Coturnix japonica: one gene and its partners. The protein of the gene in region 2 purifies or fractionates together with the protein of the main gene of each other region. This does not show direct contact. Links are inferred from orthologs where the notes say so. Each region holds a gene or a part of one and is shown on either strand. Other genes may lie near its edges. The genes, in order: WDR19, IFT140 and IFT122.

The links.
Region 1: the proteins of IFT140 (region 2) and WDR19 purify together in Homo sapiens (co-immunoprecipitation; 3 studies listed by BioGRID and IntAct, with this or other methods). This does not show direct contact. The link is inferred for Coturnix japonica from reciprocal best matches to the Homo sapiens genes IFT140 and WDR19.
Region 3: the proteins of IFT140 (region 2) and IFT122 purify together in Homo sapiens (affinity purification with mass spectrometry; 4 studies listed by BioGRID and IntAct, counting the BioPlex papers as one, with this or other methods). This does not show direct contact. The link is inferred for Coturnix japonica from reciprocal best matches to the Homo sapiens genes IFT140 and IFT122.

What each region holds. Positions count from the first base shown.
Region 1 is NC_029519.1:62,630,945-62,634,593, forward strand, and holds part of WDR19 (WD repeat-containing protein 19), read right to left. Parts: coding exon 3,649-3,649; intron 2,763-3,648; coding exon 2,616-2,762; intron 2,508-2,615; coding exon 2,425-2,507; intron 1,937-2,424; coding exon 1,853-1,936; intron 1,164-1,852; coding exon 1,017-1,163; intron 174-1,016; coding exon 49-173; intron 1-48. UniProt on the Homo sapiens protein: As component of the IFT complex A (IFT-A), a complex required for retrograde ciliary transport and entry into cilia of G protein-coupled receptors (GPCRs), it is involved in cilia function and/or assembly.
Region 2 is NC_029529.1:11,954,968-11,959,339, reverse strand, and holds the start of IFT140 (intraflagellar transport protein 140 homolog), read right to left. Parts: upstream 2,896-4,372; 5' UTR 2,702-2,895; coding exon 2,555-2,701; intron 2,370-2,554; coding exon 2,148-2,369; intron 1,934-2,147; coding exon 1,812-1,933; intron 1,365-1,811; coding exon 1,222-1,364; intron 378-1,221; coding exon 202-377; intron 1-201. UniProt on the Homo sapiens protein: Component of the IFT complex A (IFT-A), a complex required for retrograde ciliary transport and entry into cilia of G protein-coupled receptors (GPCRs).
Region 3 is NC_029527.1:16,827,712-16,831,360, reverse strand, and holds part of IFT122 (intraflagellar transport protein 122 homolog), read right to left. Parts: intron 3,080-3,649; coding exon 2,939-3,079; intron 1,961-2,938; coding exon 1,863-1,960; intron 969-1,862; coding exon 868-968; intron 1-867. UniProt on the Homo sapiens protein: As a component of the IFT complex A (IFT-A), a complex required for retrograde ciliary transport and entry into cilia of G protein-coupled receptors (GPCRs), it is required in ciliogenesis and ciliary protein trafficking.

The DNA of each region.
Region 1 (3,649 bases), on a different chromosome or scaffold from region 2:
GATAAGAGAGAAGATACTGTGTGCAAAGTACTAAACTGGAATACTCACTGATGATATCAGCATAAATCTCCATCTTGTTGTGCTGTTGAGCTAATGTGAAAGCTTCATTATTGCATTTGGACATGACCAGGAACTGGATGGCAGAACCATAGTCACCGAGCTGCAGGAAAAATCTAGTCGGAATGAACAGATCAATGCCTTAGTTAGGTAACACAAGGAATGCTCCAAACATTAAGAAACATACTGTATTTTGTAGCATGCAAGGATGATATATTTCTGATTTATTTTGTATCTACATGTTTCATCTTTTAAATAGGTTACTAAAAATAACTTATTATGAATAACGCAGCATGGCAAACTTTGATTATTGTCTAATCTCATTACTTCACACTAATGTAATTTTCAATTGAAGAGTTAAAATAAATAAAGCAGTATCTGCTTAGTTGTCCAAATTTTAAAGAACTCCAATCACTAAACTGAAATATGTAGTTATTAACCAAGCACTACTAACAGAGTCTGATACTCTAGCATGCCTCACCAACTTCCACCAGGTATGACCTCTTCCATGCTTTTAAAACTCTAACTGCTCATCTCATAAGCTGTAAGTTCAATAAAAATACTAATATACAATACTAATATACAATACTAATATACAATACTAATATACAAGAATATTCTTCCTGAAAGAAGTTAATATGAAAACTGTATATAACAATTAATTCTACTGTGCTCTCCATAGCTGCACCTAGAAAATCACTAGCTTAGACAATGCAATCATGATTGAAGGGTGATACATTACTTCAGTAGAATAAGAAGCCAATGTTAGATTGAGGTAAGTTACGGGATGTATTAAGAATGTATTCAAGGCAATATGATATATTCTACAAGCTTATAGGATTTCTTAAACAAATAAAATTGATTTACTGTTCTGAGCACAATTTTATCCTCCAGCAACAATGCAGAAGAAACAGTTAACAGCTCTCAAAGTGATTAACTCCTTAATGTATTATTATTACCTGGCCACCATCTTTGCTCCATCAAGAGACTGGGTTTCTCTCACAATATTAACGGCCCTTTCAGGATTATTAAGGTGATCCAAACACAGTCGGATTACACTGTCCCACTGTTTTGCATTCTCGTAAGCTACCACGGCTTCCTTGTACCTGAAAAATTACAGCTCCACAACAGTTTTTCTAATTTTTAAATAACTCTTTTCAGTATGGTATGAAAGAAACATAAAGTATTTTACTTCTTAGAGGTTTTTGTGTGACAACTTTTCAGTTTGCATTAAAAAGCTTGTTTCATATTTACTAACCTCTTTTCTCTCCACATTATGTTCTCTTTGGAGGACATTTCTTGATGAGACAACAGAAAACCACAGAAGTATGTTTAACTTACTCTGTCAAGCATCCACTTTCGTGTACCTTAGAAGCAGTTCATTTGTTCTGTCAGCTCCACATTAAATCAGTTGGGAGTGAGAGAACAATAAATCCTAACAGATAACTAGTAGCAGAGTTTCTAAAATGAGACTATTTTCTGTTCTGTAAATGAGTTGAAGAAATTTCTCATTCTTGCACTATGCAATTAACACTAATAATATTTTCTACTCTCACCAATCCATGCATTTAGGCTTGGTTGTCTCATCTTATAAGCTACTCTGAAGTGCATTTCCCTACAGATAGTGACAAGCAGAAAAGTAAACTTTGTGATTAAAATTTTGTGACTATGGGCTGAAATGATAAAGGCCTGATTTGGTCTTCGTCATTTTAGTCAATAATTACACTTTATTCAGTGCCTTGCAAGGGCAGCTATTAAGATGTATTTATAAATACAGATAAAGAGGCAAACACACCTGCCGTCTGCTTCTTTGGCCTTTGCGTATTGTAGATGAATCTTTGGAGATGAAACATGAGGAAGAAGTTCACCAACCTTTGCCCTGGAAAGACAAGACACGGTGAAGAAATACTTCTGGTTTCCAATTTTCCCTGGTAGAACAGGCATATTTATATCAATACTGAAGAGAACGTTAAAAAAATGTTTTTTAACATAATGTGTAAGCTTTGAAAGCACTTTAAAATGTTTAAAGAGTTGTGCTTAATATTTGGAAACAGAATGAGAAGTAAGAGACTGCTTCATGAACAAATGGGCTTAAAGAACACAGAATCTTCTTCATTTGAGATGTATGAGCATAAGAAGTGCCACTTTTTGTCTCCAATTCATCTATTTAAACCAACAGCTATTATTGTTCAGCTATTTAAACCAACATAAGCTTCTAAGAGGTGAATGCTGTTCTTGTTCGAGCCTGGGAAGAGGAACCACAAAAGCAGAGAGACATTTGCAGACCTGTTCCTTTCCTAAGAGCACCACATCACACTGAAACAATCTCTTCTTCAACACATAGAACACCCTGCAATCTGTACTTACCAGTTTTTACATCGGATGTAAACTGATGCTGCCTTGTCATAATATTGTCCCTTCTCATACAGCTGTGCAGCTTCTGAAAATTGCTGTAATATTGACAATCATTGTAATATCAGTTGTAAATTATGATTACGAATAAGTATCTTACTGTATTCACATATTCAACCTTAGGATTTATTAACTTGCTTGAGTACCTTCATACTCTCCAGAATAGCTCCACAGTCTCTTTTTAGTAACCTACTGGGATGCTTAATGGCCTGGTTTACGCCCTGACGGATATCTCCCATTCGAATGGACATCTGAGCCACTCCAGCAAGGCAAGCTTCATCGTGTTCCTGGAACTAGCAACAAAATGGAAAGCAGAGACAGTAAGTATCAGAAACTGCAGCTCATAAAAGCCACGGTAACAAAACACTGATTTAAAATAACAAAACATTATATTGACTTGGTGCAATCAATTTCTGTCCAGAAATTCTTGCTTAGCTTCAGCTATTTTTTTAAGTAGTTAAGAAAAACTCTGTTTATATTTTTTTTCCTTACCCTTTTGTCTTTTATTTGTGTATTTTACTCCCAAGATCTGTCCTGGCCAAGCACACAGAAAAGATATTATTACAGATGGCTCAGTGCTACTCCATTCTTTCCTTCTAAGCCAATAGTAGAAAAAAAAAAAAAAAAAAATGCTTGTAATCTCTTTTTGTCTTAATGTTTTTGGTGTTTTTTTGTTTTGTTTTTCCCAAAGATGGTAAGGCCACTGACAATTTATGAAGGCAAATGAATCTGCTATTTTCTCTATTAAATTCCCCTATTATTATTTGAGCTGTTTCACAGTATTTTGCAAATATTAGGGAAAATAATGCCAGAGAAAGGGAATATCTATTGAATAAGATGCCTACTTTGTAATGCAATCCCAGTCTGTCTTTACGCAGATAAAAATTCAGCAAAGAATAAGCAAAGGAATAATGAAGATTTTTGCTTTAACAATGAAATCCTAGCAACACTGTTTGCATACCTACTATGGAAATGCTCAAGCTAAGGCTTGTTACGCTACTCAAATACAATGGCAATAATGTTTTACGAGTAGAGAAAGCATCATTCTGGTTATTAAAAATAATGTAGTGTAGATTTAGTGTTGAAATAAAAAAACTGAATTCAAATCAGTCTGAAACAAAACACTTAAAAGCGCAGTGTATGATACTATGCACGCTATCAATATCAGAAATGAAATACC
Region 2 (4,372 bases):
TTAAGGAGGGTCTCAATGAACAAAACACAAGAGCAAGACGAAAACCATCTTCCCAAGTTCAGTAGCACACTTCTATTTCACCTTTAAATGTGCACATTTGATCACTGAGGCATTAAAGGAGAAAAAAAGCTGATTCATTTCTGAATGAAGGAAATAAAAGAGATTAAATATTGCAACTCTACTTTGTTGTTCGATGCACACCTTCATGAGCTCCTTGGCATCTCCCTCGAGAGTAATTGTATGCAAGGACAGCAGCAGGTTCTCTGTTATCACAACTAACGCATCTTTTTTCTCCATGAACAGAAGCTTCTGTACACGGTTGTCGGCTGACAATACGTGGTTTGTCTTTCCTTTCTCATTCACGTAGTGCACAGAACCTGTAGTACACATAAACAAGTCACACAGCTCTTAGTTAACAGCTCTTGTAGCCACAGAAATCAAATATGCTCCTTGTTCCTTCAATGAAATAGTCCTCGAGTGCTAAAAGAAAAAGGGCCACAACTGCTGCCTCACAGTTTGTCTCTGGCTGTGGACAATTACAGCAGCTTTTGCTGTCACTCATCTGGAAAATCCAAATGCAAACAACTCAAGTTGTTTCTGTGGTGTTGTAAACACCACAAATATTTCTCAATTAAAAGTACACTTTCTGCATACATGTGCAGGTATGCAAAGGGCAAACGATGGCTTTTAAAATCCTCAGTGCCCCCACTTGCAGGACTCCCAGTCCGTCTCTAGATGGGGATGTCTACCAACAGATGCTCCCTTTCAAAGCTGCTACTGACAGGAAGTACCCATAAAATAGAATGGCTTTGGAAGGCGCAAATAGTACCAAAGACCTGTGGCCTACTTCTACCTTGGGGGAGATTATTAGTTTAGAGATTATTATGGAACTGATGAAATGTGAGTCGAACCTTCCCTGGTCCAAGCAACCATGTGCCTCCAGAAGAACCATTGAGTACTGGCCCACAAAGGAACATGAATTTCAGCCACAACCCAATTATCAGCCGTATCATATTTTGTCCATCTACGCCATTACGGGCAAACTGTACAAAGTGTTGTGGTGTACTGGATCACCATAATGGAAAGGGCTTACCTTTAACCTGCTCAGTCATTGGTTCACACTATGAAGGGGTGGAATGTAGCAGAAATGCTGTCATTAGACTGTTTTGAACCACTAATAGGCGAGTTTACAGCAGCTGAGAAAAGTGGTTTTGCTCTCACCGTCAGTCAAGGTGATAAAGAAGGACAGTCCTTCCTGGAGTCCCATTTTCAGAGGTGCTTCTGTTCCAGCTTTTCTCCAGTTAAACATATCCAAGGCTTTCTCATCACCGCTCACAGCAGCTTTTGCCAGCTGTAGGAAGTCTCTGCAAACAAGAGATACTTCATTTCCAACTCCCTACATAACTGAGTGCATTCCGTCCTAAAGAAAGGAATGAATACTTCATAGTATTGTAAAGAGAGAAGAAAGATGTTTCATACGCTGGTTGGAAACCAACTAACCCCCAAAAGATATAAAGCTCATTTAGTACCAGTTTTCACTTGTATTGCTTCACCCTTTTTTCCCCCCTTTAAAGAGATACGTGAAACAAAGAAATGCCCCAGACTGAACACAGCACTCGAGGTGAGGCCTCATCAATGCTGAGTACAGGGCAGGATGACTTCCCTGGTCCTGCTCACTGATACAGGCCAGGATGTCCTCATCGAGATCATTAAGAAAGATGTGAAATAGAAATGGTCTGTGAAAAGGTTTTTCTTTCTGTGGCACAAGTGAGAGCTGATCCGCCTGCACTCGGGCAGGACGCAGCACTTACTCTCCAGGAGGGGGTGGTCGGAAGATGCAGTGTGACACACATTGTCCATACTCATGTTTCAGCAAGGGAGGGCCTTGCACTCGACCTCGCTGATCCATTCTCCATAGAAACAAGATGCCGTGCTAAAAAAAAAGGCAAATTGAAAGAACTGTAGAAAAGTTAAAACAATTACATTTGTTTCCTCCCTGACCTTTTCAATTTGTACCTAAAGCAAGGAAATGAATCCCCCCCCGGCTCCTACAGCTATTCCATCCCATAGCGATCCATCCATGACCCTTCCCATCACGAGGTGTGTGTTGTATTCCAGACCCAAGGTCTGACACTGGAGCTGCTCACCCCATCCCCAGACACCAGGCGGGATCCGCTGCTGCTCCAGTTCAGGACGGTGATCCTGGCGCTGTGGTTTGTCGGCGCAGCGTGAAGCTCCTTGTCGTGTTTGTTAAGTACAACAACTTCTCCATTGTCCCACCCAGCCGCCAGGATCAGCCTGCAGGGCTGCCAGGACAGCGACGTGACCTGGGAGCTCCTCTCGATGTGAGCGTCAGGAACGTGTTCTCCCTGCAAACAGCAGCAAGGTGCAGGATCAGCACAAGGATGAAGATACACCTTCACTTTTACTCAAAGCATGTGGCCATCCTATTGCTAAGCCTAACAAGCAGCTGAGCATCACCAGGAACACTTGGAACTGCAGATGAATGAAATGCAGAAGCTCAGTTTCAAAGCAGCAAAGCTATGAAACTCACCTGCTCCAGGTAGATGTCCACGCAGCCTCCCGATGCTGTGCTGATAGAAGCGACTGCCAGGAGGGGCTGAACGGAGTGCCACGATATAACACAAGGGGACGCGACTGAATCCGGAGCCTCCGTTCGGTGATCCACGTACACGGCCATGGCAGGAGCCGCCACCGACTGCGAGTTTGCACGAGGGATTGAACGGGGAAGGAGGAAAAAACGGGGACACAAATAGGACGATGGTCCCGTAACGCGGAACGAGGAGCGCTCCCACCCGCCGCTCGGCGCTGCGGGGACAAGGCCCGGCCGCGGTTCGATGCTCCGCGTTACCCCGGGCAACGGGGCGGGGCACAGAGCGGAAACTCCCGGAGCGAAACCGAAGAGCGACGGAAACGGCCGGGACGGAGCGGGGGGGGAGAACCGAGCTGAGCCGGTGTGAGCGGGGTGAGGGGCTGCACAGCGTGTACAGGGTTAACGGGGCATTGTACAGTGTGTATTGACACCGGGATGTACAGGGTTAACGGGACATTGCACAGCGTGTATTGACACCGGGATGTACAGGGTTAACGGGACATTGTACAGTGTGTATTGATACCGGGATGGACGGGGATAACGGGACATTGCCCAGCACGTCCCCAGCCGTGCAGACAGAGGCTGGTTGCGGTCACACGGTGCATCCCATCACTCCATCCCTTCCCCTTATGGCCTGACCGCGGCTGCTGGGAATAGAGCTGTGCCATTAGGGCTCCCTGTTGGTGAGAAGATGAACAGCAGCTTTGGTGTGAATCCTCGGACCTGGGTGGGGAAGCACTGCGTTAGGAACACCCCAATTGTCCAGCCCTGTGTGCAGATCCTCACTTGGAGGGTCCTTTAAGGCCGGCTGTGCTCATAACGCTGATATAAGTTATAGGTTATTGAACTCTGTGTGAGGCGATGGGGCTCCATACAGTTATTGACGAACATGGAGAACGTTGATGCCGCACTGTTTAATGCACATTTCTGCGCTACAGCTGGGAATGGTGGGGGCGATCAAATAAAAGCCCCGTAAGATCAGCAGGTCCAACCAGCAGCCCGGGATACTGGGAGTCCTGGAAGCGACCGACCTTCGCAAAGGGCCGCAGGGCTGTCAGTCAGCTCATGTCCTTCATTGCAGCGCTAATGAACGAGCTCATTAAGGCCGTTAATTACAGGAACAGCCCGGCATCGGGCAGCAATACAACCCCGCCAGCCAATGGCATTCGAGAGCGTGCCCAAGAGCTCCAATGATAGAGCTCTCCATTGGTTCCCTTCTAGCCAATCAACAGCCAGATCTCGACGATCGTCCCGCCCCCTGTCGGACGCCGGCTGCCGCCTCTTCCTGTACGTGCAGATGACGTCACCCGCCCCGCGCCGCGCTCTCATTGGTCCGCGTCCGGCCCGAGTCCCCGCCCCCCGCCTCGTTCCCGCGTGCCGTCAGCCAATGGGACGCTTTGTTTGGGGTCGCGGGAAGGGGCGTGTCGTGGCGCGCCCAGCGGAGCCCGCGCTGTGCGCCCCGCCCCCACGGCCCGGAGCGACTGACGAGGAAGCGGAGCCGGGCGGACACAGCGCGGCACCGGGAACGGCCCGGCCCGGACACAGCGCGGCCATAGGGGCGGCCCGGCCCGGCCCGGCCCGGCCCGGCGGTGCGGGGCTGCGGCTCCGGCCGGGGCTGCGGGGGACACGGGGCCGACAGGGCGCCGCTCCCGCCGGGAAGCGCTGCCGCCGCCGGCAGCGTCGTTAGGGCCGCTGGAGGCCGCGGGGGTCGCGGGGCGATCCGGCCTCCAACCCGAGCTGGAGGCTGCGAGGAGCGGC
Region 3 (3,649 bases), on a different chromosome or scaffold from region 2:
TAAGCACACACTGCCTAGTAAGAAGAATGCAGCACCAGCTCCATGTCAGTGACCAAGGGCTGTCTCTTTCATTAGCATGTAACAGTAACTGCTGTTCTGAACGCTACCAATCACAACCCTAACAACACACGTTAGGAAAGACATTTTGGAAGTATATGTAAGTGAGGAAGTTACTAATAGGAAAGCAAACATCCCATCCAGAGCCGTAACGGAAGAAAAACTGCCTTCCCTTTGTCAGTCAGTGACCCTTTCTGTTGTCTTTTATGGACAGATGCATTTCTGCAGCGTTCGCACAGGCCTTGTATGAGGTAACCTGATCTAGCTGTGGATTTCCTCATTCACTGCAGGGGGGGTTGAACTAGATGGCCTTCAGAAATCCTTTCCAACTCTAAGGATTCTATGATTCTACTTCCAAAAGATGCAACATGCACTCACAAAGTTGTGCAAATGGTAGGTTGAGAGACACTGCACAGCTATAACAGCCTCAGATGGAGCAAAAGTGGCTGTTTTTTCCCCCTGCTCCCATCTGAGCTCAAGGTTGTCAAGATTCAGATCCAGCATCCTGTTGGGATGACTAATACTCCTTGACAAAGTCACACATCATGCTGGGTGGGTGGCTGAGAATTACATGTTGATTTGTTCAGCTCTCCAAGACGATAAGGAAAAAAAAAAAGAAGACAGTGCAGTTAAAAACAATGGTTTGAAGGTGCTGATTATTTCCCTAGGGGCATAAATCGAATTCAATTAGCTACAACCCACAGCTGAAACTGAACATAACCCAAAGTAGATCTCTGCACTGTGGCTCAACATCAATTACTCTTTTAGTGTACCTCAGCCTCTAGATTCTGTGCAGTGTTGGAAGGATACACTTTTGAGATCCCCAAGGGAGTCTCCTTTGTTAAGCTGTGAAGCAGAAACCTGGAAATATTGAAGAGTGTTTCAGGCAAGTGGAAACTGAAAGGTTCCTCCTGTGGAATTAAAAATAGAGACATTTCTAAGACAATTCACATCACTACACATCACAATACCAGGCATCCCAAGTATTGTCATGCAGTTCATGCAGTTGCTAAAAGAGCAGATGCTGACAGAACACACCAAGCGGATTTCACATGTTAAACACCAAAGTTCATGCCTGTTACACACAGAAAAAGACAGAAAGGGATCCACACAGCTAAAATAGAATCCTTACCAGGCTATATAAAAGCAAGGCATGAACAGTGGGCAGCCTCCACCACTGAAAGGTCTGACATAGCCTGACTAGCAGAGACCTTGGTTGCACAGAGTCGTCTTTTGGGCAAGGGCATAGATTAGAGGCTTCTCATATGTTCCACAGAAGATATTTTCACCAACAGTTGTAGGAACATTACTATAATTGCTGGGAGCAGCAGGAGCTCTCCTCTCAAGACTGCACATCTTTTGGAGAAGTTTACATATATCACCACTGATAAGAGGTAACATGCTGTGGGAATCTCTGAATGAGGGTGTCTTCTGTATAAACCTGCTTTCCCCAATTAAAGGAAGAACCCACTGCAACCTGTAAAGGACCTGAGATCCGGGGTGCTGGAACCAATCAACACAGCCAGCAAAGAAAGTACTGGGGGTGGAGAGTCAGCCATGCTCATATTCTCTATGTACACAGTGAGACAAACACACATCTGCTAAAATGGCACGGCACTTTTTAAGAACTACGACAAGAGAAGTTCTTCTGCAGTACAACAGAAAGCAGAGAAATGTTGCTATACAGTATCACTAATCTACACTCTATTTAATTGTGTGAAGTCATTAAATGTTTCTTTATCTCTGGACTTCTGAAAGAAAAACATTCAGGAATACACACACAACTTCTAAAGTAAATATCTTACAGTGTATCTTTGAATATAGTGATAGACATGGTAGATTTCTGCCAATTGCTGGAAGTGATGAAACTTCTGCAACATTTCAGTCTGCTGTTCTTCATTCTCTGCGGAGAGAAAGGCATTAGTGTAAGCCCCCCCAGGTAAACCTTTGAGACTCAGTGTGAAGAAAACAACATACAGTGATACTCCCAAATGAAGTACACACCAGCCCAAGTGTCCCCCATCTACCTGTGCAAAACACAGGTTATACAGTCTTGCTACTTCTGGGAGCAAGTTTCTACTTCAAAAAAAAGCATGCTCAAATATGAGTGGTAATGGCTTTAATATAGCTAGAGGCTACAGGTTAGGTAAAGGGAGAAAAGAGCAGCTGTGCATCTCTGTAAAGCTCATTCATACCTTCAGAATTTACAAATAAAATGAGTTTTGAAACATTTCATGGATATTAAACACACTACTAAAAAAACTGGAACAGTTTGCATCTCCACACAATACCTCAGAGGCAACATATCAGCACTCTCAGGTGAACTAATAAAAAGGCACTTAAAGCACTGAGCAAAACACAGTACTATCAACCCTGGTATTCATTGGCAAATTAGTTCTCCTAAGCACTAGCTCTACCTCTCTTCCAGAGAAATACACTCAGAAGACAAGATGATAGCTCACAGTTTTGTATTTGTTGGCAGAAACAATTTGTAAAGTACCTCCCCTACCTACATTCAAGTACTAAGCAGATCTTATGCTCCAGAACCACCTTGCAGATACCAGTACGTGGACCCCTCAGTCACTGCTCTACCTGCAGCGTGTTGAGGGAAGCTACACAAGGACACAGGCTCCCAAGGATGCACTATTTTGATTCCAGCCAGATTTCAAAACAAGGCCTACGCACACTGCTGTTGTTGTTTTGCTCATCTGTTTTACATAAGAGCATGGGAAAACCAGTAGACAAAAATAGCGTATGCCAAAACTATGCACAGTATAAAAGAAAAAAAATAGTGAAGGAGCTGCAGCAATGCTATCACAGTTTAGCAATTGTCTGCCTACATGCACAAGAAGGTAAAAATATAAGCCTTTCAGTTACTTACCTTGGGCTATATCTAAACACTGCATGGAAAGCATCCAATAATAATAGGCTGCGTCGTTAAATCGGCTTTCAACCACAGCATTGTGTGTTAGCTGCTCCAGCACTCTCACAGCTTCTCTCTGCCTGCCAGCCTTGTGGAATGCTACAAAGACAAAACAAAGAGGATTTTACAGGGCAATTATATCAATTAGCTGAAATTAATGTTTTTAAATTAAGAGCAGTCTATTCAGACAATATCAAATCATCTATCCAGGGCAGTATGAAGGGATTATACACTGGTATTTTCTACTTGAAAGCAGCAACACTAATGGAACATGAGATGCAGCTGTAGGTGTTTTGTGGCTTTTGCACTGTCTTGGGGGCTCTTGAGCTGCTATGTCTTGTACACCTCCGGTGTTTTTGTTGTTCTTTAATATAGGAAAGAGCAAAAGCACAACAATCATTAGATCTGTTTTCAAGCAATTGCAATCTCTAAACACTGCAGATTGCACCTGCATTTAAAACTACAGTAAGTTCAAATTAGTTCTAGTCAGTAATGTTGAATGTTTTAGAAGATTATATTATTTATTATATCCTTGTAGCACTCATTAACAGCTTCTCTTTCAGTGAACTTCAGAAGCCAGTGTAAAGTTAGATTCTGACTTCTCACTTGGCATAAACACAATAAAGGAATGAAATAAAGTGCAATAAAGATAACAATTGCCTCCTGATT